5 linked regions of the Kluyveromyces lactis genome follow. The protein of the gene in region 1 purifies or fractionates together with the protein of each later gene. This does not show direct contact. Links are inferred from orthologs where the notes say so. Each region holds a gene or a part of one and is shown in the gene's direction. Other genes may lie near its edges.

Evidence for each region. The genes of interacting proteins can lie anywhere in the genome.
Region 2: the proteins of ARX1 (region 1) and NSA2 purify together in Saccharomyces cerevisiae (affinity purification with mass spectrometry; 12 studies listed by BioGRID, with this or other methods). This does not show direct contact. The link is inferred for Kluyveromyces lactis from reciprocal best matches to the Saccharomyces cerevisiae genes ARX1 and NSA2.
Region 3: the proteins of ARX1 (region 1) and RPF2 purify together in Saccharomyces cerevisiae (affinity purification with mass spectrometry; 9 studies listed by BioGRID). This does not show direct contact. The link is inferred for Kluyveromyces lactis from reciprocal best matches to the Saccharomyces cerevisiae genes ARX1 and RPF2.
Region 4: the proteins of ARX1 (region 1) and SQT1 purify together in Saccharomyces cerevisiae (affinity purification with western blotting, with the first as the bait; 3 studies listed by BioGRID). This does not show direct contact. The link is inferred for Kluyveromyces lactis from reciprocal best matches to the Saccharomyces cerevisiae genes ARX1 and SQT1.
Region 5: the proteins of ARX1 (region 1) and NMD3 purify together in Saccharomyces cerevisiae (affinity purification with western blotting; 28 studies listed by BioGRID, with this or other methods). This does not show direct contact. The link is inferred for Kluyveromyces lactis from reciprocal best matches to the Saccharomyces cerevisiae genes ARX1 and NMD3.

Annotation. Positions count from the first base shown.
Region 1 is NC_006042.1:1,096,488-1,102,802, reverse strand, and holds ARX1 (putative hydrolase), read left to right. Parts: upstream 1-2,381; coding exon 2,382-4,097; downstream 4,098-6,315. Other genes in the region: PDA1 (pyruvate dehydrogenase (acetyl-transferring) subunit E1 alpha), read right to left, coding at 136-1,374; recombinase DMC1, read left to right, coding at 4,649-5,638; TMS1 (Tms1p), read right to left, coding at 5,765-6,315. UniProt on the Saccharomyces cerevisiae protein: Probable metalloprotease involved in proper assembly of pre-ribosomal particles during the biogenesis of the 60S ribosomal subunit. Accompanies the pre-60S particles to the cytoplasm.
Region 2 is NC_006041.1:1,203,816-1,209,128, reverse strand, and holds NSA2 (rRNA-processing protein NSA2), read left to right. Parts: upstream 1-2,509; coding exon 2,510-3,295; downstream 3,296-5,313. Other genes in the region: VFA1 (Vfa1p), read right to left, coding at 184-801; small subunit rRNA maturation protein LCP5, read right to left, coding at 1,095-2,282; MPT5 (Mpt5p), read left to right, coding at 4,946-5,313. UniProt on the Saccharomyces cerevisiae protein: Involved in the biogenesis of the 60S ribosomal subunit. May play a part in the quality control of pre-60S particles. Under normal, rapid growth conditions, high levels of NSA2 would allow the progression of pre-60S particles through the ITS2 processing.
Region 3 is NC_006037.1:703,533-709,341, forward strand, and holds RPF2 (rRNA-binding ribosome biosynthesis protein RPF2), read left to right. Parts: upstream 1-2,756; coding exon 2,757-3,791; downstream 3,792-5,809. Other genes in the region: NUP133 (Nup133p), read right to left, coding at 1-2,321; MTD1 (methylenetetrahydrofolate dehydrogenase (NAD(+))), read right to left, coding at 3,929-4,909; GTPase-activating protein GYP1, read left to right, coding at 5,739-5,809. UniProt on the Saccharomyces cerevisiae protein: Required for biogenesis of the 60S ribosomal subunit.
Region 4 is NC_006040.1:1,331,600-1,337,444, forward strand, and holds SQT1 (Sqt1p), read left to right. Parts: upstream 1-2,531; coding exon 2,532-3,827; downstream 3,828-5,845. Other genes in the region: MTC4 (Mtc4p), read left to right, coding at 1-45; RCF3 (Rcf3p), read right to left, coding at 196-558; STS1 (Sts1p), read right to left, coding at 969-1,970; RIB5 (riboflavin synthase), read right to left, coding at 3,924-4,631; aspartyl protease BAR1, read right to left, coding at 5,128-5,845. UniProt on the Saccharomyces cerevisiae protein: May be involved in the late step of 60S ribosomal subunit assembly or modification in the cytoplasm.
Region 5 is NC_006037.1:457,555-463,684, reverse strand, and holds NMD3 (ribosome-binding protein NMD3), read left to right. Parts: upstream 1-2,567; coding exon 2,568-4,112; downstream 4,113-6,130. Other genes in the region: ATP-dependent RNA helicase DBP8, read left to right, coding at 211-1,518; NOP19 (Nop19p), read left to right, coding at 1,719-2,312; ATG7 (Atg7p), read left to right, coding at 4,434-6,130. UniProt on the Saccharomyces cerevisiae protein: Acts as an adapter for the XPO1/CRM1-mediated export of the 60S ribosomal subunit. Unlikely to play a significant role in nonsense-mediated mRNA decay (NMD).

The DNA of each region.
Region 1 (6,315 bases):
CATAATATTGTGAAAGGGCAGTTTATAGGAATATAGTTGTCTTTCGAAAAGGGAAGAGTAGAGAGATGGGAATAAAAAAAAGGATAAACGCAAAGAAGTTAACTTTAACGTTCAATTACCTAATTCGTTCTTGCTCTAATCTCTGAAAGCAAAGCTCTTCTTAGCAAAATCCCAAGTATCTTCTTGCAATCTACCTCTTAGGGTTGGAGTTTCAGAACCTGGAACGTAGACATCCTCGAACAAGATGGACATCTTAGCTTCTGGAGCTGGGGCAGCATCAGCTAATTCGACTTGCTCATCGACGTACTTTCTAGCAGCCTTGTCGTAAGCCTTAATTTCATCTTCCGTGGCGATACCCAATTCCAATAAGTGCATCTTTAAACCTGCAATTGGATCGTTCTTAGATCTCATGTGTTGGATTTCATCTCTGGTTCTGTAAGTAGTACCTGGATCAGACATAGAGTGACCACCATATCTGTAAGTTTCGTATTCAAGAACGATTGGACCGTTACCGGAGACAGTCCAGTCCTTAGCGAACTTGGAAGCTTGGTAAACAGCCAAGATATCCATACCGTTAACCTTCAAACCAGGAATGTATTGACCACGCTTGAAGTATTCAGTCATGGCTGAAGATCTTGCGGCAGCGGTACCCATACCGTACTTGTTGTTTTCACAACAGAAGACGGCTGGTAAGTTCCATAACTTGGCCATGTTGAAGGATTCGAAAACTTGACCTTGGTTAGAGGCACCATCACCGTACAAGGCAAAAGAACAAGCATCTTCGTGTTTGTATTGATGAGCGAAGGCCAAACCAGCACCCAATGGGACTTGGGCACCAACGATACCATTACCACCGTAGAAACCAGGGGCGTACAAGTGCATGGAACCACCCTTACCGAAGGACACACCAGTTCTTCTACCCATCAATTCAGCCAACACAGCTTGAACAGCAGCACCTCTCATGTAGGTGAAACCATGACATCTGTAAGAGGTGATGACGGTATCACGCTTAGTGATAGCGTTTTCAATACCAACGGCAATGGCTTCTTGACCGACAGAGGAGTGACAGAAACCTCTAATTTTCTTAGCCTTGTACAAAGCGTCACAGGCCATTTCCATTCTTCTAACGATAATCATATCCTTGTACATTTGTAGCAAATTGGACTTGGTGGTTTGATAACTTAATTCAGGAACATCCAAAAGATAACCTTCAAAAGAGGTTTCTGGCAAATCAATTTGAACTAGGTCATCATCACCTGGCTTAGTTTCATCAGCAACCTGGGACAAAGCACGGACGTTTTTAGAAAAGTTTCTAACCAATCTCAAAGAGCTGGACTTCCCAACCACAGAGGATTGAGCTTTCAAAGATAGCATGGTTTGCCTAATTTATTGTTCTTTTCGGTATTAACTACTATAGCGACCAACAATTAGAACACACAAATACACACTCAGCAGTAGTGATGGCAAAATATGTTGTATAGAGAAGAAATAAAGAAGAAGAAGCTCTGAGTTCCTGATTCTATATTAAAACAAAAAAAAGCCAACTAATGAACGATTCCTTGTTCCAAAAAATTTGACAAAAATCAATCAATCAATCAATCAGTCAGTCAATTAATCAATTGCTTGGCTCAGTATCACTGAAAGACCAAAAAAAGGTTCTTAATCACGCAACAACTGTTTCTCATCATATTCACAATTAAATCCGCCTTTAAATACTTGTGAACTTGGGAAAAAAACTTCAAAAAATTTCGTAGCCAGCCAGTCGGTATAGATAAGGGACTTGAAATAACAAGAAGTGGGTATAAGCAAGGTCAATTTTGCTCTAATTGGGGTCAAACTTGAACCGTTGGGTAGCTGATGATGCGGAGAGTATTGATATTCTACTTATTATGGGATATCTGACAGTTTCGTCTGGTGTAGGTAGAGTTTATTGTGCTGATTCAATTAGACAGACGGGATTGTTGTTAGAAAGAGTGGGAAAAGTGACGTGCACAGCGCGGTGTTTGGGTGGAACATGGGCAGCAGATCTATTACCCGGATAATATGCGGGTCATGAGTTCTAATGATACACATTACCCGAATATTAATACTTTTGGCGCACGTGATCAGAAAGTGATTTCTTTTTCATTCTCTTCTGATCGAGGTCCGGGTAATATTTTGGAAAATTTTTTGAAATATCTTAGTGCTGTGTGGCAGGAAAGGTTGTATCCAGGAAAGAAATTTGGAAAAAAAAAGTATCAGTGAAAACTTTAAAGCGATGAGATGAGATGAGGTAAAGAGAAACGAGGTACATACTTACATCATTATCATAGTGTATCGTTCCCTCCTTTGTATCAGAAAACAGCTAATACTAATAATTTGTGGATAAAATTATCCGTACTATGGCGTTACAAATCTCAAAGGAAGACACTCAGGTGTTATTGAAAGATAAGAATGTATTGATCGAACCAACAATTGAGAAATATAGAACTGCAGGTCAAATTGCTCAGACTGCTTTAAACTTTTTGATCAGTTTGATCAATAAGATGTATCATGAGAAGTCTATGGAGCCGCTACCGATTCATCAACTTTGTTTATTGACTGATTCGTTCATAGCCGATTGTTTAAGTACTAAGTTCAACAATAAGGTTAACGAGAAGGGAATCTCAATGCCAACTTGTATTGATATCGATGAAATAAACGAGAACTGGTGTCCTGAAGTGGATGACATCGAAAACTTGTCCCGTTGGAACCAAAAATCTAGATCTACCAAATCGATCGAGCTATGTAACGGTGTTACTTCTAGTTTGTCTGGGTTTTTGAAAGTTGGTGATGTCGCTAAGATCACTTTGGGTTGTCACATCGATGGGTACACTTGTAACGTGTCCCACACCGTGGTCATTTACCCAACCGTTCAGGATGCCCAATCTGGAAAATTGCTACCTGAAGCTGCTTTGCTAGGTGGTAAAGCTGATGCTCTAGCTGCCACCCATATCGCTGTTGAGTCCGTCACTAACTTATTAGCTGCTGCAAACGATTTGACCAAACTTCCAGCTGATTTCAACGCTACGAAGGTCACTGGTTCCTTGATTAGGACCGTAGTTGACACCATTGCTCAATCTTATAATTGTTGCGTTGTGCCTGGTTCTCGTATCAGAAGAATCAAAAGATTCCTTTCTGGTCAAAACGAAAATATCATTGTCGAAAGAGACTTCAAAGGTGTCATTTGGACTGAGTCTCATCAGGAAGCTGCTATGCTTGCTAGAACCGTCAATGAAACTGCTGTTGATGTCAAGCGTAAGAACCCATTTATCACCGAAGATACCGTGGTCCCAACAGATGATTTTACCGTTGTCAAGGGTGAAGTTTACATGATCGATTTGAAGTTGGCTCCATTGCAAGGATTGGAGCCAGGTTTGATCACTTTACACACTGTCGATCAATTCTCCGGTAAATCTGAATCCTCTGATGTGGTGGCTAGACCAGGTGCCATCTGCCGTGATTTTTCAAAGAGCCATGTTCTAAAGTTAAGAGCTGCTAGACAAGTGTTGACCAGATTGGATAAACAAGGTGTATACCCTACCAAATTAGCTCATATCGCTGATTCTTTCCCATTGGACGTACAGGAGCCTGATTTCGAAACCATCAAGCAAGAAATCAAGCCATTCAGATTAGGTCTTTCTGAAATTTCTAACAACTACCTAACAATCGACAGAGATGTCACCATCGTAAAACACGTTCCTTGGGCTAAGATCTTGGATCTAACAAACCCATCCGGTGTGTCAAGTTATGACGCCATGGCAAAGAATAAAGGTTTATACCCAGGTTTCGAGCTTCCTCTACCTAAACTAGGTTTGTCCAACCTACAGTTGAAATCCTTGCTAAAAAAACACTCTACGCCAGTTCCTGTGGTCCGTCAATGTGTCACTGTAGCCATCTGTGATGAAGAGTTGCTAAGAATCAGCGGAAACCTAAAATCTAACTGGGTTCATTCTGTTTACTCTATGGATACTGCAAGCAATATCGTTGCAGGTATATTCAAACTGGCTCAATTGTCCGAGGATAAGAGATTTGGTTTGAAGATCAGAGAAACTCAACCATGGAAAATGAAATTCTAATTTATTCATTACCAGTATTAACTACCTTCTTTGATAGAACTACTTCAACAGATAACAAATTCTATTTCATACACAAACACCCTTTTCGCATCTGCACACAATAACTCTACATTGATACACCAGTTCATATTATATTCAATACTCGTTTGATTTCGGTAGCCCAAGAGTCTTGTTCTTATGAGTCTTTATTCTTACCAACCAATTGCAACAAAAACAATGTATAAATAGCAACTTCTAAGTATCTTGTAGATCTGTACACTAGCAAAATCATAATAGAACTCAAGCTCTCAACTTTGTCATTAGTTCTTCTACTATTAGTGTGTTTGCTTCGGAAGGATTATCAAAACGTTCAAAATGATGGCGGCTAATTAGATTTTAGTATAAAAAGGATTTGGAGTCAGAAACCAAATCAACAAACCCAACTACCAATGAATATGACATAGCGAGATATCTAGTGCACATAACTAGGAGCGAGAAGGTGATCCTAAAAACCAATAACTTTGCATTTCATTCTACTTGAAACGTCCCATTCCATTTCTATTTAAGCTGTCATGTCTACAGAGACAGAAACTAAAACCAATGTGGTCAATATTGATGAGTTACAAAACTTCGGAATTAACGCGTCTGATATAACTAAATTGAAGACTGCTGGTATATTTACCGTTAACACTTGTTTGTCGACGACCAGAAGGAATTTGTGTAAAGTTAGAGGGTTATCGGAAGTGAAGGTAGAAAAGATTAAAGAAGCTGCCAATAAAATCATCACCATTGGCTTTATTCCAGCAACTCTGCAATGGCAGATTCGTCAAGCAGTTATGTCTATCTCTACCGGGTCGAAACAATTCGATTCTGTACTAGGAGGAGGAATAATGACAATGTCCATAACTGAGGTGTTTGGGGAGTTTAGGTGCGGTAAGACTCAATTATCCCATACGTTATGCGTGACAGCTCAATTACCAAAAGAACTAAATGGACCTGAGGGTAAGGTTGCATATATTGATACAGAGGGTACTTTCAGACCAGAAAGAATCAAGCAGATAGCACAAGGGTATGATTTGGATCCCGAAGTGTGCCTTGAAAATATCTCGTACGCCAGGGCACTCAATAGTGAGCATCAGATGGAGTTACTTGAACAGCTTGGCGAGGAACTCTCTTCAGGAGAATATAGACTATTAATAGTAGACTCAATTATGGCCAATTTCAGAGTTGATTATTCAGGCCGTGGGGAATTGAACGAGCGTCAGCAAAAACTAAACCAACATCTTTCTAGATTGAATCGTATCGCTGAGGAGAACAATATCGCAGTTTTCATGACCAACCAAGTTCAAAGTGATCCCGGTGCTTCTGCCTTGTTTGCTAGTGCCGATGGTAGGAAACCTGTCGGAGGACATGTCTTAGCCCATGCAAGTGCGACAAGAATATTATTGAGAAAAGGTAGAGGTGACGAAAGGGTCGCGAAATTACAAGATTCGCCTGATATGCCGGAAAAGGAGTGCGTTTATGTCATTGGTGAGCGTGGAATAATGGATTCTGATGAATAAGCCACTATGGGTGGCTCGTAAGAAAGACATACTTTCTATCGATAGAACGTTTTTACGAACAGAATAGTACAACTCTATAAACAAGTGACACACATCCATTTCCCTTACCACTTCGATAGGTGTTTTCTAATAGTCATATTCAAATCTTTCTGGCATGACAATGGGTGCGAATAAGGTCCAGCCGTATAAACCATAACAAATCCAAGCACTTATGATTTTAACCCATGAATAAAAGTATGTCCTGCCAACAGGAATAAAATCTCCAACATCATCTTGTGTAACATTTATAGTCAATAGGATCACAATCCATTGCGTAGCTAAAAAGAAAATGAAATGAAACAACGAGTAATTGTATTTTGTTACATTGAATTCATCATCATCACCATCTTCCCTACCAGAATCATTGACATGCATTCTTTGCTGCTCAGCTTCATAATCAAGCAAGGCGGATTGGGGCAAAGCACCCTCCTCAACTGCTTGTTTGATCGCTTGCAACCTCAGTTGATTACGTGTCTCTCCTATCCCGGAGTATTCAACATCATCATCGTATAAAGAAATCGCTCCGCTACTACCTCTTAGTGCGTTGTTTGCTGCAGCTCTGGTTGTCGTATATGCGATTGCGATAAAAGTGAACAGTGCACCTAGAACGGTACTGAACTTTCTGGTGTTACTTGTAC
Region 2 (5,313 bases), on another chromosome or scaffold:
TGAAACCAGCAAGTATTCTGTTCTAGTTTGAAGCTCATCGCATGGGATCTAACTATGTCCTGCTTCTTTAAAGCTTTTCATTGAAAAGTTGAAAAGATCAGAAATTTCTTTTTGACGTGATATCAATCACGTGATATAGAATTGCACAAAAGACATAAGAGGTAGGCATATTAGGCCGTCCTCTCATGACTTGTTAACGGTGTTCTTGGGGACTTCAGGAAACGAAAACGATTGTAATAGTTGATTGGGGTCGGTGTTGGTGTATGATTGTTGCTCTACACGTTTCTTTTCCTTTAATTGAGCCAGTTTCCGTAGTCTGTCGACTCTTGATTGGAATACTAGGTCGTGTAGAGTGTATCTATTGCACGTCTCTCTTGATGCAGCTAGCTTATCAAGTGTCGCTTGGTACGTTTGCTGCAATTCTTCAAGTGAGTTTGCTTCATCGGTCTTCTTCTTGTCGTCAGAACTCGCGTCATCCCTGTCCTCTTTCTTATCATCAGATGATGATGGCTTTTTAGAGTCAAAGATCTTATTAACCCATTGATCCCAGGTACCTCGCTCTTTCCTTTGTAGCTCCTCTATGCGTTCTTTGAGTGGCTTAAGACTAACCAGAGACTCGTGATACTCTTTTGGGTATAGAGGCTGTACAAACTGCGGGTTATCAACTAGATGTATATCGCATGTATAAAACCAATCAGGTCCGCTTCCATTGAACAAAACTGTGACTGTAGGGTTACCACATATCAGACATGCTTTCCTATCCTTTGCTGAGACTTTCTTTCTGGTGTATTCGTTCTTCATCAGGGGCGCTGGAAGTTGTACGCTGGTAGGAGATTAGTAGGGGTGATAGGTGGTGATTATATCTTGCAAAGTTGGAACGCTTAGATTGTATTAATTAATTATTGGTGATTACACCTTGATATGAAGAAAACGAGACAAAACGAAACGAAACAAACCACATCAAAGCTAGAGTTTGAGCAGTGCAACACCGTTATCATTCGATTTATAAACTACGTATTTGACACTATATGATGACAATAGAGACGTATGGATATTTTAGCCTATTTATACATAGAAAAAGAAGGACCTCAGGTTTACAACTTCTTCTTGGCTCTTTCCCAAGCATTTCTAGATTTCTTATTACCTCTTCTGCTTGTACTATCCTCCAACTTACGCTTGGAGTTGAAGATACTGAAATCTTCACCGGCGATCATATTAACCTTGGCCATGATTTCTCTTTGTTTTTTCATTCTCTTGTCAGTCTTGGATCCGTTGGGGTTCAATCTAGTGAAATTTTCTTCTTCGAATCTTTGAACATCACGTTCACGTTCTGTATCTCTTGCTGTCTTCACACCACCTCTACCATGGTTGACGATATTGGCACCGATAGAAGTTTCCCATTCCGGTTGTTCCGAGGAATCCTTCAAGTATTCTTCCATAGCTTGCATACGAGACCTGCTACTCTTATCCTTATGTTCTTGTGCGTTGAATTTATCCTCGAAGTGATGTTGCTTTGGTGGCAGAACGGCACTGATCTTAGGTGGTCTATAAACGTTATCTTTATCATCCACATCTTCTTCATTGTGAGTACTCTTGACAGCGATTTTCCCCTTGGCTTTCCCTCCAACTGATGTGTTATTGACCATTCCTGAACTGTTCGGCCTATATTGCATCTCTTCTTCACTATCAGAATCTGAGTCTGATACTTCTTCCTGGGAAGCACGTACGTCACTCAGTCCCTGCAATTCGGCTCTTTTCTTGGATTCTTCAACGTCTTTCTCCAGTCTAATGTACGCCCGCGTCAATTTATCCAGCTGGTACCCTAACTTCTTCTCCAAGGGCTTCACACCTCTTTCAAGAACAACTCGTTGTTCCACTGCCCTGACTCTACCCTCATCAACAACCATCTCTTTATTCAATTTCTGTCCCAATACCAACAGAAGCGAATTCAAATACGATAGCATACTCCCATTCTTCAAAGAAAGTAGAGAAACTTTTTCTAATTTATCACCTTTGTGACCTACCACCGCTGAACCTTGGAAAGGATGGGTCTCCTCATCATCATAGACTTCTTCTAACTTATCCAAGCTTTCTCCACAAGATTTCAAAGAATCTCTAATCGTTTTCAAAACAGTTCCTAACTCCTCAGACATGGCTATATTTCCGCTGTAACCCTTGTCAATAGAATGTAATGAGGTTTTATACATCAATAACAGTAGATCGAACCTATGCCAAACCCACACCAGACAACCAAACTTGTATCTGGCTGATACCCATCTCATCTCATCTCATCGCTTGATTCCAAATTTTTTTTTTCACTACGTTTCTTTTCGACATTTCCTATTGAATTTTTTTCTTTCAATGAGAAAAGCATACAAAGACAACTTGAACAACTAGCTCATCGCATGGGTTAACATGTGGTAAGAAGTCCATTCAAGGAGTCCGTGTGTCCGTTTGTGATTTAGAAGTAAGTCATCACCGAACAAGTCGTTCTTACAATAAAACAAAGATGCCTCAAAACGAATATATCGAACAGCACATCAAGCAACATGGTCGTAGATTAGACCACGATGAGAGAAAACGTAAGAGAGAAGCCCGTGAGGCTCATAAGATCTCTGAAAAGGCTCAGAAATTGACTGGTTGGAAGGGTAAGCAATTTGCTAAGAAGCGTTATGCTGAGAAGGTTGCTATGAAGAAGAAGATCCGTGCTCATGAGCAGAGTAAAGTTAAAGGAGGGTCCAAACCGTTGGATGAGAACGGGGAGGCTTTGCCTACTTATTTGTTAGACAGAGAACAGAACAACACTGCAAAGGCTATATCCAGTTCCATCAAGCAGAAGCGTTTGGAGAAGGCTGACAAGTTTTCTGTTCCTTTGCCTAAGGTCAGAGGTATCAGTGAGGAAGAGATGTTCAAAGTTGTTAAGACAGGTAAGTCTAAGTCTAAGGCATGGAAGAGAATGATCACGAAACATACGTTTGTTGGTGAAGGGTTTACAAGAAGGCCTGTGAAGATGGAAAGGATTATCAGACCTAGTGCTTTGAGACAAAAGAAGGCTAATGTGACGCATCCGGAACTTGGAGTCACCGTTTTCTTGCCAATTCTTGCGGTGAAGAAGAATCCTCAATCGCCAATGTACACACAGTTGGGTGTATTAACCAAGGGTACTATTATTGAAGTGAACGTCTCGGAATTAGGTATGGTTACTTCTGGTGGTAAAGTGGTTTGGGGTAAATATGCTCAAATCACGAATGAGCCAGATAGAGACGGTTGTGTCAACGCTGTGCTACTTGTGTAAGAACAAGTACAACCTATTACTACCAAAATTCCTACTCATCTCAATTATTCCCTATTGCATCACCCCCCACTCCGCTACGTTATTGTATATTACTATTTCATTTTAGAACTGAGTTCCCTTATTAGAAAGTACTGGCTAAATCATCATTATTTAATCATATATTTAGCGTTAAATACTGAATTATAGCCAATGAGACTGACAATTTCATGCCTCGCTGCCGTTGAGATACCAGCTATTCCAATGCATTGAACTAATTGCTACTCACACGTCGTGTCAATTGACCTTCTGGACCCTCAGGTTACCCTAAGTATTCATCTTTATTGTTTCACAATAAAGTAGGGTACTACCCTACCAAATCATACCAAATAATTTTATCTATATATATATATATATTCAGTATTATACATACACATTCTTTGCGCTTGATATACACAAACTTACCTTCAAAACAGCACTTATTAGGTCAGATTCTAGCACTGGTCCATATACAGATACTAGCGTCGACGTTGTTCAGGAAAAGAACATCATTGATCCCACTGGAAACGAAGTAGTTCCCCAGATCAAATTGATTTCTGGATCTACGTTCTAGTTTTCACCACAGAAACTGATCCGTAAGCAATCAGTGCTTTTTCCAAACCCCACCAGTATGTATTGAAATTTGTCCTAACGGACAGCCCCTTTACCCATTAACCTTTACCTTCTTTCCCCCTGTTCTGCATCTACAGAAAGCTTTTGCCAATTAATGATCCAACTTGAGTCTCGTTTAAATTACTGTTATAGTGATACTGAAAGTAGCACTATACAGATTCTCATATTAGAACTGTTGCAGGTGACTACAGTACCTTTGATCCAGCCTCTTCGCTCAATCCAACCCTCTTTTTGATTCACATTCTCGTCCTGATTTAGAAGTGCCGGACAATAATCCTGGCCACGGTGGACTTCTCTGCCTAACAGCTATTTCGATCGTGAAAAATGTCTGTCCAGACAGATTGTCCGGCACGTGAGCAACCCTGGTTTTCCCTGAATCATTTTTCTCAAATTCCTGTCTACGCTCATCTGATCTGCCTAGACCGCGGGCGGCGCCCCCGGTCTGGCTAGGCAGGGCAATAGGAAAGCAGATATTTCCTACGCGGGCGTCTACGTATTTCTTGAGTATTATTTTTCATTATCCCTCGAATAGTATGGAAGAATCAGAATCGTATAAGAATAGAGAGAATCAAGAATCACAGAGAGTTTGCATTGTAAGAAGAGCGTGTTACTGGAACAATTGTTTGAGGTTTTCCTGGTGTATACAACAGACCTATGAGTTTTAGGGTACGCTAGACAAAAGATCAGTTTCTGATTTGTGGGCTTTTTATACTTTCGCTTGTTTTATATTTGTTTGCTTCCAGATCTGGTACCAGATCAGCTGCGAACTAAATTTGGTTTCATTCAAAGAAAAGAGTAGAGGGAACAAGAGGATACTATTCAGCTGAGATACTAACAGATTGTGTTTAGACTAAACTGTGCTTTTTTTTTTTTCTCTCCAAGTCCCTGTTTTCGTCTGGTGATTAACCTTTGAAAGCTATTCTTTCCTGAAGAAGATCTTATAATAGAATCAAAGATTCAAGTATTTAGGGGAAGCCGGAGTCGAGACATAACTAGTGGATAATGCAATTCCATCATCAACCCCAACTGTCAGTTAACTCTGTTCAATCTGTCATTGAGCCAGTGACTCCGCCGTTGGGCCAGATGAACTCTAAGAATAACCATCAAAGAACACATTCTTTGGATTTGTCTGGATTCAACCAATTCATTTCCAACACTTCTCCTCTGAATGTCAATACAATGTCACCGCTGAGTACGATTTCTGCCACGACATCCGTGTCAACGGCTGCGTCTAGTTCTGCCAATGCGAAAAATCGTATGAAATCGTTGCCCTTGATCAATGAATTCGAATCCATCTTACCTCCGGGAGGTTCTGCAGCTGCTGATTTAACGTCATTGACTTCAACTGCTTCTTCACCAAATGGTTCCAC
Region 3 (5,809 bases), on another chromosome or scaffold:
TCAACTAAGCCTTCAAAGTCTTGGTAAAAATCTGTGATTAGAATTGAATCCTGAGACCTGTTAACATCCCTAAGGACCCTATTCCAAAGTAAATGATTTTCTTCGAAAAACTGTTTATAACTAGAATCAGTAATGGCATTTGCATCAATCCACATGGTTATTTGCCTGACCATATAAAATAGAGACTTAACCAATAGCAGTAATTCCTCTACAAATTCTGACACAACGGCAAGATCTTCAGAGGCATGCCTTAACAAGAAGAAGATGTCATTAAGATTTTCTATTATGCTATTTGTTGTGAACCAAGGGATATTTTTTGATACATCATCTGGGCTCATCTGGAAAAGTCCATACCTGTAGCTGTTTTCACATTCTTCTAATATGGAATGATAAACTAGTTGATTTATAAGCTTTGCGATCTGAGATTTTAACATAGTTTCATTTGTGGATTTCATTAGGTCTTTCAAATGCTTCAAAAAGGCGCCCAATAATTCTGGAATCTTAACAATGCCGTCTGAGATAAAATCAGAATCCGATTGATAGGAACTTTCTGATAGTACTGTCTTCCAAGCTTGTGAAATAGATGTTGGTTGTTGCGGTAGTAAAGAGTACAAGCTTTCCAAACATTTTATCATTTCAAAATCAGAAATCAAGTCCAGTTTGAATTGGGAAGATGTTTGATCCAAAAAATTATGAGCAACAAATGTGAGAAGTCTTTCAAAAAGTTCGCTTCTTATTTTTAAGTGTTTCATGGGGTTGTTAGCAACAGGCGGTATGTGGTTTGATAATGCATATTTAATCTCATCACTGGACATTTGAATATCTGTTTCAATTTCTTGTGGTTGTAGATCTAGATTGTCAGGTAAGTTGAAGTCTAGTAATGAATCCGTTGATTGTCCTCCAAAATAGACGTATTGATCCACATGAGACTTTATGAATCTAATTTCTTGGAAGTCAGAGTTTTCGTATTTTTCAAAAGTCTCCAACTTTAACGCACATGTTCTTCCATCAGTAATGTATAAGGAACTTGAATTACAATCGTACCCAAGAACTTTCATATCTTTGTTAAACCGTATAATGTCCTCCCATTTCCTTTTAAATGGATAATTAGAGTCCAATTTGGAACTTGTTTGAGTTAGGACAGCAGCATCAGAGAATAAAGTGTAAACAGACGTTATCGGTAAATGTTCCTTGGTGTATGCAGTTGGGACTATAAGTCTTGGGGCAAATTCATCTGATAATGGTCGCGTGTATGTGTTTAATCTGTAAGTAGAGAAGATAGCGAAACTGTTAGTATCTTCATCCACAATGATGGTTGATAGTAAATAGTGCGTTTCGTTACTTTCCGCTAAGAAACTCAAGAACAAGTATGCATCCGAGTCTCCTGATAAAGGATGACAATCGAGTAGTTTCAGTGTAGATGTTGCCAAGGGGAAATGCTCTAAGACTGCCTGTGAAATTTCAGACTGTACATTTAAATCGATCTTTTTGTAACAATTCCCAACAGATGAAAGGTTCCACACCTGATATCGCCCGCCCTGGGTTAAAATAGAAACTATTCTTTCTCCTTTACCGCTGATTTCGCCCAATTTGAGAGATACCACTCTCTTTGATTTGGACATGGATGAAAAGATTCCGACTTGACATTTTATTATGGTTTGTTTTAGCGATACAAAAGGTTTCCCGTTAGCATCTCTTATAGTACAAAACTCAACACGCCCGTAATTTGTCGAAAGTAATATTCCAGCTGGTTCTGCATTAATCAAATTCTCTACATATTCACCGTCACGTAGTTTTAAAACTGATTTATGACGTTTGGTTTGCGTCAAGAAACTTGCCACTTGACTCACAGTATCAACATCTTCATAGAATTGAATGTCACCGGATCTACTGTTCACTAAAAATAAGCCAGGGCTTGATTTCAAGTCACGTTCGAGCACACTAGGCCACGTAAAGCAACATAATGGAGGACGGGACCATGATTCATATTCCTCGTCATGTAATGGAATCCTTACAAAACTAGGGTGTGTTTCAGAAGATAAAAATGGCCAAACGTAAACATTATCAGTATCGCAGCATAAGGCGTACCCAGATTTTGCATCAACGCTACAACATAATTCCACATTACTGGGCAAAAAACTTAAACTTGGCGCTAACTTCGATACCTTATACTTCCCATTCTCTGTGATAACTTGTTCATTCGAAAATTGTACATTGGTGACAGCAGAACCAGTTGTCGTTTCCTCAGCAGAGATTACTGAATCCTCTGGTGCTGCTGCTGGTACACTAAGCTCTTTCCTGAGCTGAAACAATTGCTTCATCTTGTACTATCTTGACACTGAAAAAAAAAGCCAAAAGAATCACCAAATGTAAAACTTTGAAATTCTAATCTCAATTGATCCACTACCTTGTTAGCCGAACCTAGCTTGACCTTGCATTGCTGTAATTATAAAGGTAAATAGACTCTCTGATGCTCATTGTTTAAAATCTTGGTCAATGTTTCTGTTTTCATTGTCGCCAAAGAAATCGTCATAAGTGATGTCACGTGAAACATTTTCCGCCACGTGACTTTGGAATAGTTTCTTTTCACTTATCAAGTAACTTGGAAAATTAAATCTTTAAACTGGAACAAATCGATGCGATGAGCTAAATGCGATGAGCTAAGTTACAGTCTACATAGTTCATCTTTTGGCTCAGATTTCTATCCTATAAGGTGTAATTGTTGTGATTTGTATCAAGACACCGTAAACACCAGGATGATCAGAACAGTAAAGCCTAAGAATGCCCGTGCTAAAAGGGCTTTGGATAAAAAAGAAGCAAAATTGGTTGAGAATGTAAAGCAAGCTTTATTCATTCCTGGTCAAACTTCTACCAAGTTGTTGCATGATTCAATGGTTGATTTGAGTGCGTTGAAGAAGCCTGATATCAAGAGATTCTCCAAGAAGAACAACATCAGACCTTTTGAAGATTATGAACCATTAGAGTTTTTATCTGAAAAGAATGATACATCGCTTATGGTGTTGAGCACACATTCTAAGAAGAGAAGAAACAATTTGACTTTTATTCGTACGTTTGGGTATAAGATCTATGATATTATCGAGTTGCAGATTGCAGAAAACTATAAACTTTTGTCTGATTTCAGAAAACAAACTTTTAACGTTGGGTTAAAGCCAATGTTCAGTTTCCAAGGTGCAGCCTTTGAACAACATCCAGTTTACCAGCATATCAAATCATTGTTCCTTGACTTTTTCAGAGGTCAGAATACCACTTTGCAAGATGTTGCAGGTTTGCAACATATCATTTCTATCACTGTCCAAGGTGATTTCCAAGACGGTGAACCATTACCAAATGTTCTATTCAGAGTGTATCACTTGAAGACTTACAAGTCCGAACAAGGTGGTAAGAAGTTACCTAGAGTGGAATTGGAAGAGATTGGTCCAAGATTCGATTTCAAGATCGGAAGAATTCACACTCCATCTCCAGAAATGGTCAAGGAAGCCCATAAGAAACCTAGACAATTGGAAGTCAGAGTTGCTAAGAACGTTGAGATCGATACTATGGGTGATAAGATCGGTAGAGTGCATGTGGGTAAGCAAGATTTGGGTCAATTGCAAACTAGAAAGATGAAGGGTTTGAAGGCTAAATACGATCAAGTGGATTCGGATATGGAAGAGTACCTAGAAGAAGTTGAAGGCGATCTTGATCAAGAAAATGTCGATGACACTTACGGTGAAGAATTCGTAACGGCAACAGATATCGATGCTCCACCTGCTAAGAAGCAAAAGAAATAAATTCCATTGACAATAAAAACTGACTGTATAATATAATTCATATACATATCTAATCATATACATACACATTCGCATATATATGAGATAAAGGTGAAATAGAGTATAATTCTTTTTTTTTTTTTGATCGATCCACTGCCTTAATTCGTGGAGGCTGAACGGTTTTGCAATTTTTGTTTGTTCTCTACTAATCTGAGCATGTTTCTCAACAGCATGGAGATGGTTACTTTACCGGTGCTTGGAACGTATAGCGATGCTTTTGATTTCACAGACTCATCGAAATTCTTCTCTGAGGAAAAATTGATACAGATAGCGCCTTCTTTAATGTAATCAGTAGGGAACTTGTATTTTTCACCAGGAACACCTGTTATTATCACGTCAGCATCTTTACAGCATTCCTTCAATAGCTCCTCTGAATATGCACCCAAGTCTTCTACATGATGTTTCGTAAACTTCAAACCTTGCCCACGTGTGAACTTCTGAATGTTGTTGATATCAACAGAAAACACATCAGCACCATCATTTGCTAACAGAGCAGCTAGAGGTCTACCAACAATTTCAGATCTATTCACTACAACACATTTCTTCCCATAGAGTCTGTTCCCTTCTGGTAACAAATTGTTATAAACTTTCAAATACTCCAAGATTTTCACTACAGCTAATGGAGTGCATGGTAGTATCGATTTCAACTGTTTCTGATCATCCAAATATCTAATGTTATGGTACATATTCTGATAATAAACGTGATTCAACCCTTCTACATCTTTTTCCCTTGATACCACTTGTTGCAAATACTGATCTTGTGCGTTTCCGAACACAGGGAAATAGATCATGATACCATCAACGGAATCATCTTGGTTAGCATCGATGATAGCTTCTTCCAAGAAGTCTCTATCTTCAATTCTTCTCAACTCGTAACGGAACCCCATAGACTCGCAAGTCTTTTGAGTCCAGGAAGCGTACATCTCTGCAGCTGGATCATTATTGGCCAAAAACCCAACTAATAACGGACCATCTGGTCTAATATTCCTGAGACTTTCCACCTTTCCAGTAATTTCTTGAACGTAAGTTTTAGAAATAGAAGACGCTAATATGGTACGGCCTGGCTTTTCTGTAGACATGGTAATTTTAACTGCTTTGCGGCGGGTGAGAGGGGGTAGATGTGGTTTGTCTGTTTGTACCTTAAAATATGAGTTGACAAAAATAAATAATGTCGGTTCTCGAATGAAATATCCTGATATGTAGTGATTGATTCAGTATTTGTACACTCTTAAACCAGAACCGATCTAATACAGATTCAAATATACGTTTTTATATATATATGTATATATGGTATATCTATCTTTCATCTAAATCTACTCATCTCATCTCATTCTATCATAATTAAGTGATAATAATAATTGATATTCCAATGGCTCGAATGAGCGCCCTATAGTAACTGTCAATCAGAGTCAAAAAAAAAATGATTGGAACAATATAAAAAAAAGGAATTTCAATCACGTGATTTAAAATCAGGGCATGTGATAGTCACGTTATCTATTTTATATCCGGGTAATGGATGTTTTGGAATTTCGATGGAATCACCGTTTATAGGATATATTGGATTCGAAGCATGCAAAGCTAAGGAAGAGGAAAGTCAAAAGGAAATGGAAAGGAAATTGGAGCGCTACATAGGGTTTACTTGTATGACACAGTTAGGTTATATGGATGTCTAGTATTGTCATTAATCAAGGCATATCGTATAAATTTTCTGGTAAAAAATTGGGTGACATTTCATACATTTGTTGGTGTATTTTAGGGAGATCATTCACTAGATAAGTATAACAAGGTGTCTTAGGCCCTGATCATAGTTTAAAGAAGAAATAGAGGGCATTTTTTCCAAGTGTAATAGGGTAGAGTCTTTATATTTTCTTTTCTATCTGTTTTTTTTTCCCATTGTTTTGCTTGCCAATGGCTATCCGTTCTTCGTCTAGTAGTAGGATAGATCAATCTCCTAGGGAGATGTTTCAAAGGTCTAATTC
Region 4 (5,845 bases), on another chromosome or scaffold:
GGATTCATTATAGTGTTCAAAGTCGTCAAATGGGCATTATTTTAAGTGTTATAGAAGTGCGAGCTTACATAGTCTTTTTCCATTTGTGTAACCATATATTATTTAAACAACGTCTGGAATGTTATCCTGCTGTTAAGGCAAAAGTATTTACAAGGGAATGGGTAAAGTAAAGAAGAAACCCAATGATGGGGCTTTTCACTTCTTATCCAAAACACTCATCGAAGCGGCTTCTTCTTCTAAGAAAATACCTCTCTCAGCAGCCTCATCTAGTATCTTTTCTCTTCTCTTCATCTCTTCTGCATAGTATCTGTCTTGGAATTTGATCAATTGCTTATCAGCATTGAAAACTATCCCCATAGAGATCCAAGAACAGTGATAGAACACACGAACCTGGGTCCGCACGTTCCTGTACGTGGTAGAAAACTTCCTTAGTAATAACGCCGTTACTAACCCAATGGCTGCACCTTTCAAAGCACCAATACCAGACGCAATAGCTATCTCTTTGGTTAATTGTTTCACTGTGCTTGGATCATAATGAACAGGTTGAACGTTTCCCATAACGGATGAATTTATCTATAATTTACGATACGTATAACGGCAGCCACGTAAAATTTAAGCTCAAACAGATATGACTTGTCCTGAGGTGCCAGCTGTCCTAATTTTGCCATTCTTTTTTCCATCTCTGCTTTCGAATGTGTAAAAGGGAAGCTTTATCAAAGCGATAAATGCATCAGTTTTAAATAAAGAGTATGGCATGACATATGAAGTTAGAGAGAAAGGGAACAGAGGAACAGGGTGAGTGATGCAAGTTTTGTATTAGAGAGCTATATATGTATAGACAAGGATATATAGATGGCCATTATGATGTTTCAAAATATCTTCCTTTTTTGGTCTGTTTGTGGGCGTTTTCTTTATATATAATGATGATTCTATGATGAGGGTGGGTTCAGCTGTCACATTTGTCCCCGTCAGCTGCTAATGTTTAAGAACCCAACAGTGGACGGTTGTGTTTGAGACAGCGGGTGACCGTTTCTGTCCTGTGACATCATAGCGGCCGAGTTCTTGATAGTCCCTATCAGTTCCAATGGTTTCTGTAGTCTATTGTTCGATCTTCCATTCAACGTATGCAATACAGACTCCCAATCTTCTAAGTTGGAAACCACGGACATAAAGGATAAATCTGTGGATGCGAATTGTATACAACTGCACCAAATCTCAGATATTTGTTCAAAACACATATTCTTGTAGTAATTATTCGAAGCTGTCTCGAAATCAGGCAATTGGTTCAAAAAATCTGTAGAACAGTTCAAGAACTTCAATGATTGTAACACACTATCCGATTGTGGAGGGATGCTAGACAATAGGAAATCGATGACACAGTTTAAAAATTCCATGATTGAAGCCTTCATACGGCCAAAAGCATAATCGTTTAACAAACCATCCGAGCTTTGATTATACTTGGAATACGGAATATCCTCATACACCTGAGTCAATTTCTCCTTCAATACCTTGACGTACTGTTCCTTGTTGAAACTTATAGATTGTACCTTGGAAAACAGCGAATGCTGAATCTCTGGATGTTCCCTTACCAACGAAAGTAAGACAGACTGCAGTAACTGTTTATCCATCAATTCTACAGATCTCGGGAACGGAAGTGGCTGTCCTTGGATATAGTTCCGGTACACCGGTTTCTTTTTACTGACCCGTTGCACAACTTGAGACACAGGCCCATTCATCGAAACGTCTTCTTCTGTGTAACGTCTCTTGATTCTAGGCTTTGAAATACGACGTGAAGACGTTCCATGCGTAAGTCTATGCTGACTACTCTGAATATGACCATGAGCGCGCTCATGGTCGTTACTGATGTCATTGCTCTCAGTAGAGCTCGTCTGTTCTTGACCCATGTTCAAATTCTCACCAGAAGAAACACTGGGGCGAAATCCCCATTCAAACCCAACACTCTGGCTCATTGCAGTAGCTTAAAATCCTATACTGTATTGTGTTATTGAGACGCTTATTCCAGCACCAGTATCAAACCCTCTGGATAATGGATAACCTGGTTTCGTTGGGTAGTTTCCTTTATGCATTTGTGCAAAACTGATACAGAATGTTATAGATAGAATATGGAATTTGAACCAGTTTCCATAAGGCACTAAATCGTATATGGTGACAAAATTACTCAAGATTATCCGAAACTTGGTCATTAGAGCACCAAACCGGTTACTTGGAAGGCGTATTACTGTCCAATAATGATCGAAGGATAGCTATATGGTATCTGAACAGTACAAGCTGACTATAATAGTCCAATTAGACCATATTTGCACATTTGCGTTTCTTTTACGTCCTTTTCTTTCTCTTTAAGCACTGAAAAATTTCAGTTTAAAGCTCATCTCATCTCATCACTTGAAGATGACTTACTAATGCAAAGTGTATTGAAAGTTCATATCTGTTTGTTTCTGGCTTAGTTAAAGGATCGGAATACCACTGTTAATCCACAGCTCACGGAGAATTATAGTTGTTTACTGATTAACATGGACAACACCGAATTGAATACAGCGGACAATGTTCCTGAAGAAGAGTTCATTGCAGATGAGGAAGTTGGTGAAGAAGTTGTCTTAGATAACGTTGAACCTAGTGAGAATATTGGTGATGATGACGATAATGATCAAGAGATGGGCGGTTTAGATGGTGCTGAGACCCTTGAGATCGATATGTCTAATAATTCAAGTGGATTTTTCGATAAGCATACTGATTCTATATTTTGCATTGCACACCACCCTACTTTGCCCCTAGTGATGACCGGTGGTGCAGACAACGTAGCGAACTTGTGGACTTCTCATTCGAAACCTCCTAAGTTTGCTGGATCCTTAGAACATACTGAGTCTGTGATTTCTGGTGGGTTCACACCTGATGGGAAGTTTTTAATCACTGCAGATATGAACGGTAAGGTATTTATTCATAAGTCTGTGAAGGGCGGTGCTCAATGGAAACGTTGTAGCGAGTTAGAAGAAGTGGAAGAAGTTGTGTGGTTAAAAGTACATCCAACGGTATCGGGTGTTTTTGCATTCGGTGGTGTTGACGGATCGGTATGGTGCTATCAGTTGAACAACGTGGATGGGTCGTTGTCTCAGATCATGTCCGGTTTCTCTCATCAACAGGACTGTACCATGGGTGAGTTCATTAATGTAGAAGAAGGTGAGAACAATTTGACTTTGGTCACTTGTTCTTTGGACAGCTCAATTGTCGCTTGGAACTGTTACATGGGTCAGCCTTTGTTCAAGATTACTCAAGCCGATATTAAAGGTTTAGAAGCTCCTTGGGTCTCATTGTCTGCAGCTCCAGCTTCCCTAACGAATAACACTGCAGTCATTGCTGCAGGGTCAAATAATGGGCTGTTGGCCATTATCAACTGTAGCAACGGATCTGTACTACATTTGACCACAGTAATAGAATTAAAACCAGAACAAGATGAACTTGATGCATCGATAGAATCCATCACTTGGTCTAGCAAGCTGCCTCTAATGGCAATCGGTTTGGTTTGTGGCGACGCACTATTATACGATACAAAAACTTGGAGAGTGAGGCATAAGTTCCAACTTGAGGACTCTGCCACCAAATTACAATTCGACACTATCAACGGTCACAATTTAATTGCTTCTTGCATCAATGGTAAAGTATACATATTCGACGCCAGAACAGGCCAAGAAGTACACGTTTGTGTTGGACACAACATGGGTGTGCTTGATTTTGTCGTCATTGAGAACGGGTCCAAGCTAATCACTGCCGGTGATGAGGGTGTATCATTAATTTTCGACCTGCCACAATGAAATGTGGGTAGGATTATACTAGGAAGGGATCTTTCATCATAAACTTTTCCGATATATATTTTATTTACATCAATGTCGTATATATTCTCATCCCAATCATTTGTTTAAGGCATTTCTAACCTTTTCTTCGACAATCTTACCAATCAGTTGACTCAAAGAAGATTTCGAATCGGCAATTTGCGCTTGTAGATGCACTTCAATCTGCTTTTCGATAACTTTACCTGTAACATCAACTTCGACATTAACCAGATCGCCCACCTGTTTCAACGGCATGATAACGTGTTCTTGAGTGTGCTTTATCATTGCGATGTAAAAAGTCCCATCGTCGTCAATTGTAGTAACAGTTAGGGAAGTACCATCCAACGAGATGAACCCTTTCTCAACGATAAACTTCTCATAAGATTGTTCCCCCAGTTTGAATCCAAACACTATGGAGTTACCATCAACGGTGCGTGATTTGATAGTGGCTACTGTATCGACATGGCCTTGAACGTAATGCCCACCAAAACGGACATCCTGAGACACAGCTCTTTCGAGGTTAACCTTGGTTCCAGTCTTCCAACTGCTGATATCGGTTCTACTAACAGTTTCTGGTGAAATACCAACTTTGAACGAATTAGAATCGAATTCAGTCACTGTTAAACATATACCATTGCATGCAATGGAATCTCCGATATGACAATCACTCAAAACTGGGGCCGCATCTTTAATGGTCACCGAAACACCATTACCACCACTAAGAGTTTCGTCCAACTCTTTGTACTCAGCAACAGTACCAATATGTTCTACAATACCAGTAAACATTCTTGCGGTTATACTCGGCTATGTTTTGGTAAGTCTCTTCCTTGCCAACATAGGTTTCCTCGAGATGTACTTTCTACTCAGACATGAGATTTCTCATTTAGTCATACAGCCTGAAAATGTGAAAGAAATGAGGTGAAGAGAAGGCAGAGCATGGAGGGAACAGGAAGGCAATGAGAGGACCAGGAGTGATGCCTTCAGAGGTGTTCAAGGGCACCCAGATAAAATGGTATAATGAAGCGTTTGTATTGTATTTTTAAAAGTGTTTTTCTACTGAACTACATATTGATTTTAAACGTCCATTGAGTGTCAGTGATTCATTCTTTATATAGTCAAATGCCGTTACCATGAAGCTAAACTGTGGGAATAAAGGTTCAGATAAGCAGAGTTTGATCCGTGATATTCATGCAAGAAGCTCTTAAGCCTTAACGTAGGCAAACGGTCGTTTGTGCTATTGCGTCAGTTTTTTTCACCATTATCCAGCACTGACCGGAGAAGGTCATAGGAGAGAATGGAAGAGTACTAACAATGCGCAAAGCAGATAGGATGGTCTTAAACTAGAAGAACCAGAGTTTTCAAGCATAATTAGATTGTCATGTATATTGATTAAGACTTCTCTTTTATTTCCTTTTTTCTTTGCCGGACATGTCTTAGAGGGTGATTTTTGACATTTCTTAGGTAAAGGCTTATCAAATACAGAGTCTGTACTTGAGTTGGTACTGCCAGACAGACTCCAGGGGGTAGAATTTGATTTTCTAGTTTGAGGCAGAGAGCCTGTTGCACTTACTGTTTGTATTCTTGACCCGCTCGTGGTTTTTACCTGGGCAATAGAGATCTCCAAGTTATCAAGGTCATATACTACATATGCGCTTTTCAAAACAAGATCCCCCAGGATCCACTCTTCGCCACTCGCAATTATTGCCAACCCACAATAATTCTGACCGGATTCAGGTAGATATAAGAGGTCATGTATTGGCACTTTCAGTTTCAATTCACCGAAATCGAAATAAAATGTGCGATCATCATTGGATGCTGGGCAATCTAACACATACAACCCGTCGCTTTCCGAGAATGCAGCGCCCAGTTCTTGGGCAATACTTTCTAGTGCCTCTTGAGGAGCTCCCATGATTGTACTACCAGAATCAAGTAGTGCTGGGGCCTTTTTATGCGCGATGACAGTATCTTTACAATTCGATTCACTTCTTATTCCAAGTCCT
Region 5 (6,130 bases), on another chromosome or scaffold:
ATTGTTCCGAAATCCAATATTTTGGGCCCCCAAAATCCCATATTGGTGCATATTTGAATGAAAAAAGAAAACGGAAAGAGTCTTTAACATGTAAAATTTCTATACAGATGCGATGAGATGTGCTTTGACCTAAAGGCTGTGGTTAGTAGGAGTAACTTGTATATAAACCTCGCCAAGAGTACCTAAGAACTATAATATCTATATTAAGAGATGTCTAATTCTGAGTTCAAGTCCTTAGGATGTTCAAAATGGTTAGTGGAAGCATTAAATGCGATGAAAATCGTGCAGCCCACTGCGATTCAAAAGGCTTGTATTCCTGAGATTTTGAAAGGGCGTGACTGTATAGGTGGTGCCAACACCGGTAGTGGTAAGACTATTGCTTTTGCAGCTCCGATGTTGACCAAATGGTCCGAGGACCCTCAAGGTATGTTTGGGATCGTCTTAACACCTACCAGAGAACTTGCGATGCAGATCGCAGAGCAGTTCACAGCATTTGGAAGTGCTATGAACATCAGAGTCGCAATAGTAGTTGGTGGTGAGAGCATAGTGCAACAAGCTATCGAATTACAGAAACGACCACATTTCATAATAGCCACACCAGGTAGATTAGCACACCATGTCCTGAATAGCGGGGAAGATACCATTGGAGGGCTAAAAAGAGTAAAATTTCTGGTACTAGATGAAGCCGATATATTATTGACGGAAACGTTCAGTAAGGACCTTGCTACATGTGTAAGTATTTTACCACCGAAAAACAAAAGACAGAATCTCCTTTTCACTGCTACTATGACAGACCAAGTGAAAGCTTTATCAGACGCTCCACAGACGGAGGGCAAACCTCCTGTGTTTACTTTTGAGGTTGAGTCTGTTGATAACGTCGCCATTCCGAAGACATTAGAGACGACATATTTGCTAGTCCCAGAGCACGTTAAAGAGTCATACTTATACCAGATATTGACCAGTGAGAAATACGTCAAATCAAGTTGCATTATTTTCGTTAATCGTACCGTAACGGCTGAAATCTTAAGAAGAACTTTGAAATCTTTAGATGTAAGAGTCACGTCACTTCATAGTCAAATGCCACAACAAGAAAGAACGAACTCTGTACAAAGATTCAGGGCACAAGCTGCGAGAGTTCTTATCGCTACTGATGTCGCTTCTAGAGGTTTGGATATCCCTATTGTTGAACTTGTTGTAAACTATGATATTCCTGGCAACCCAGATACTTTCATTCATAGAGCTGGTCGTACAGCGCGTGCCGGACGCCATGGTGAATCACTATGTTTTGTAACAGAAAAGGATATTCAAAGAGTAGAGGCAATTGAGGAAAGGATTAATAAAAAGATGGAAGAGTTCACCGATGTAGGTGATACAGCCGTGATTAGGAAGTCGTTAACTAAGGTTACAGCAGCAAAAAGAGAAAGTCTCATGGCCATGGATAAAGAAGGTTTTGGTGAAAGAAGGAAACTCCAAAAGAGAAAGAATGAATCCAAAGAAAAGACTCATAGACGTACATAAACTCACATAGTTGATAGACCTATCCACATATTCCATTTAAAAATCAGTCACGTGAATTCTGATTCTTCCTTAGAGAGTAATCACTGAAAAAAAAATGGTAACTTATTCTTTGAAGCGATGAGATCGAACCAGATGAGATGCATCGGCCGCCATAAAGGTATACTCTTACAATCTAACAAGTAATACAGACTCACCAAGCCATGTCAAGAGCTCAGGAGATAAAAGAAAAGCAAGCACTACTTGCTAAATTTCAAAATGGGTTTAGCAGTTCCACTGCTAAGGTGCTCGGATGGATAGAGGATTCTAAGACGTCATCTAATGATCTAGCAAAGGAGGATAGCAACGAATCAAAGAAGGAATTTTTCCAGTTGCCTGTCATTCAAATAGGAAGCGGTTTATCATTTGAGAACGCGCAAAGTACTGATGATACCGATATACATACCATTGGAGAGTTCATCAAAAGTGATAAGAAGGTCAGCTCTTTAGCCAAAAAGAAAAGAGCTACCAAGGACGTGCAACAGAGAAACAGTATACACAGAGTGAGGAAAGACGACTCCCAGGCTATGGTTTCGTTAAAACATAAGATAAGGAATCAGGAAAGACAGAAGATACGTAACGAGCTTCCGAGAGGCACAAATGTTTCGAAAGACCACAGTAAAAACCAATATTATACCAAATCGACTTCATCGCATTCCGACTCTTCCTCGGATGAAGAAGATATGGAACCTAAAGTACAAAAACATTCCAAGAAACAATTTGGCTTGCTATTTGCTGGAAAGAAATCCAAACGTTGAACGTGTTAATCATTCTTTATAAAGTGTAATTCTCCTGTATATAGACTAGCTTAATATGCATAGATGCATAAATCCAAGGTTCAAAGTCACGTGCAAAATTTCTTTTTCTTGAGGGTTCGCAGTCTCTTTTAAGAAAAATTTTGAGAAAGCTCATCTCATCGCATCTTGTTCTTGCACAGTCTGATAGTGCTTGAAAGCTGATTAATGTCTGCATTATAGGTATTCCAGCAAGGGCAGAAGTATCCACCGAACTCGATGAATTACACTCCGTTAGATCAGAATCACATGCAACATCAGCATGCTACAGTGCTATGTTGCAGTTGTGGTGTGCCTATGGATGGGTCCTCAGGGCTAGTTATGTGTTACGACTGTATTAAGTTGAATGTCGATATTACAGAAGGTATTCCCAGAGAGGCTAATGTTTCTTTCTGTAGAAACTGTGAGAGGTTCTTGCAACCACCAAGCCAATGGATTAGGGCTTCTTTGGAATCTCGTGAACTTTTGGCGTTGTGTTTACGTCGTTTGAAAGGCTTAAACAAAGTTCGATTAGTGGATGCATCATTTATCTGGACCGAACCTCATTCTAGACGTATCCGGGTCAAATTGACCGTTCAAGGTGAAGCTATGGCTAACACTATTATCCAGCAAACATTTGAAGTGGAATATGTGGTGATTGCCATGCAATGTCCGGACTGTGCTAGATCTTATACCACTAATACATGGAGAGCAAACGTCCAAATTAGACAAAAAGTTCCTCATAAGAGAACTTTCTTGTATTTAGAACAGTTGATTTTGAAGCACAATGCCCATGTTGACACCATTTCCATTAGTGAGGCAAAGGATGGTTTAGATTTCTTCTATTCTCAAAAGAACCATGCTGCTAAGATGTTGGATTTCTTAAATGCTGTCGTACCTATCAAATGTAAAAAATCCGAGGAGTTAATCTCTCAAGATATCCATACCGGTTCATCTACTTACAAATTCACTTTTTCCGTGGAAATTGTTCCAATTTGTAGAGATGATTTGGTTGTTTTACCTAAGAAGCTTGCCAAGTCTTTGGGTAACATCAGTCAATTTGTCATCTGTTCCAAGGTTTCTAACTCTCTCCAGTTCCTGGATCCAACCACTCTTCAAACGTGTGATTTGACTGCTCCAATGTACTGGCGTGAACCTTTCAGTGCATTAGCTGAAGTGTCCCAACTAGTTGAATTCATCATATTGGACGTTGAACCTACTGGTCAAGTTAGAAACAAATGGGTATTGGCTGACGTTACTGTCGCTAGATCTTCCGATCTAGGCTCCAATGACCAAGTCTATTACGTTAGAACACATCTTGGTGGTATTATTCATCCTGGTGACAGTGTCATGGGTTACTTTATCGCTAACTCTAACTATAACTCAGAGCTCTTCGATGGTTTAAATATTGATTACGTGCCAGACATCGTTCTAATCAAGAAACTATATCAAAGAAAGACAAAGAAGAACAGAAAATGGAAGTTGAAGAGAATGGCTAAGGAACACAAGGATATCGAAGCTTCTCAAGACTACACTTCAAGACAACAGAAACAAGAAATGGAACGTGCTGAAAGAGATTATGAGATTTTCCTACAAGAATTGGAGGAAGATGAGGAAATGAGACAAACAATCAATCTATATAAGAGCAACAAACCAGCAGAGCACGAAGGCGAGATGGAAGAAGATGAAGATGAAGATGCTCCACAAATTGATATTGATGAACTATTAGATGAGTTGGATGAGATGACTTTAGAAGATCAACAACAAGGTGAAGAAATGCTATAGAATTTGGTTTAGTCTCTTCTTGTTTGGACAATAATTACAATATATATTTACGAGATAGGCAAGTTAGTTGAATTTACTCATCATCTGCATTAGATCAATGATACAATGGCCGTCTTGTATAGTGTACACTAGTGAATATTAATAATTGGCATGTTTCAGGGTAACAATGCTTTCCTGAGTTTAGTTCATTCTTGTAAAAAAGACGTCGATTCGTAATACTACCCTGATACACTATACCCTTAACTGCAGTGCATAGATAAATAAAGTAAACCAAGAAGTACTATTCTTTCTTCATGGAACAAAACCTGAGTACCAGGAAAGATGCTTAACGATCTTAAGTTTTCACCAGCTTTTAAGTCTTTTGTTGATACCTCGTTTTTCCATGAATTATCAAGATTAAAACTTGAAGTGTTCAAGTTAGACTCTGCTGAGAAAGAATTGTTCTCTGCACTAGACCTTGAAAATATCACTTCTAACACTGTTTCACTCTCGCTTAGAGATGACAGTTTCGATCCTGTTCTCAATAATGAGGCAGTGACTTTGAAAGGGTCAGTGTTGAATTTTAATACTATCGAATCATTCAAATCCTGTGACAAAGTAAAGTTTATCAAGGAAAAGGGACAGCAATTACTAGAACAGGGCCTCAAGAATGGTCTCAAAGAGTGTGTTAGGTTTTATGTCATAAGCTTCGCCGATTTGAAGAAATATAAGTTTTATTATTGGGTTTGTATGCCTACTTTCCAGTCTGAGGGGTCATCGTACGAAATAATCTCAACAAAATCAATCGAAGATGGTGTAAAGAAGGATATATGGGAGCAGAACAGCTTTATCTCCTGTGTTGTGGATGGAAAGATTCAGGAAGCATCACCTCAGTATCTCAAAGTATGTCAGAAAGTCATCTTCAAGGACTTCAGTCGGCTGAAGGGCATTCCTGCCGCAGTTACTAAGAACTTTCTAACGGTTTGGAGTCAAATATCCACAAGGAATACGTACACCATATGTTTCCTTCGTGATGATAATTCCAGCTTCGCGGCAGAGATCAGAGTTACCGGGAGCAATACAGGATGTCTTAAGGTCAGCGGTTGGGAGAAAAATGGTCTTGGAAAATTAGCTCCGAAATCGGCTGACTTAAGCTCATTGATGGATCCCGTGAAGATAGCAGAACAATCCATTGATCTCAATCTCAAGCTAATGAAATGGAGGATTGCTCCTGACATTGATCTAGAAAGAATAAAGAACATTAAAGCATTGATCTTGGGGTCAGGTACCCTAGGTTGCTACGTGGCTAGAGCTTTATTAGCTTGGGGTACTCGTCATGTAACTTTTGTCGACAACAGCACTGTCTCTTTCTCTAATCCGGTAAGGCAACCATTATTCAACTTTGAAGATTGTGGGCGACCAAAGGCCGAAGCTGCCAGTGACTCTCTGAAGAAGATATTTCCTTCTGTCGTTTCTGCAGGTTATCAATTGGAAATACCAATGATAGGACATCCTGTATCGAACGAAAGCAAGCAGAGGAAGGATTATGAAATTTTGGACGAGCTTATAAGGACGCATGATGTTATATTTCTTTTAATGGATGCACGCGAGACGAGATGGCTTCCCTCGGTGCTTGGACGAATGCATGAAAAAATAGTTATTAATGCGGCCCTTGGTTTTGACAGTTATTTGGTAATGAGACATGGCAACAATAATGACAACCTGGGTTGCTATTTCTGTAACGATATCGTGGCCCCAAGTGATTCTCTAACTGACAGAACATTAGATCAGATGTGTACTGTAACTAGACCGGGTGTTGCCCTATTAGCGGCTTCCCAGGCTGTTGAATTATTGGTGACATATCTTCAGCCTTCGACGAACGTGCTTGGGTCAGCTCCGCATCAAATACGAGGATTTCTAAATGAATTTAAAACTGTAAAACTTGAAACACCGGCATATCAGCACTGTTGTGCAAGCAATGAAAATGTCATTTTAACTCTAAAGGAAAACGGATGGAATTTCGTGAAACAGGCGCTAGA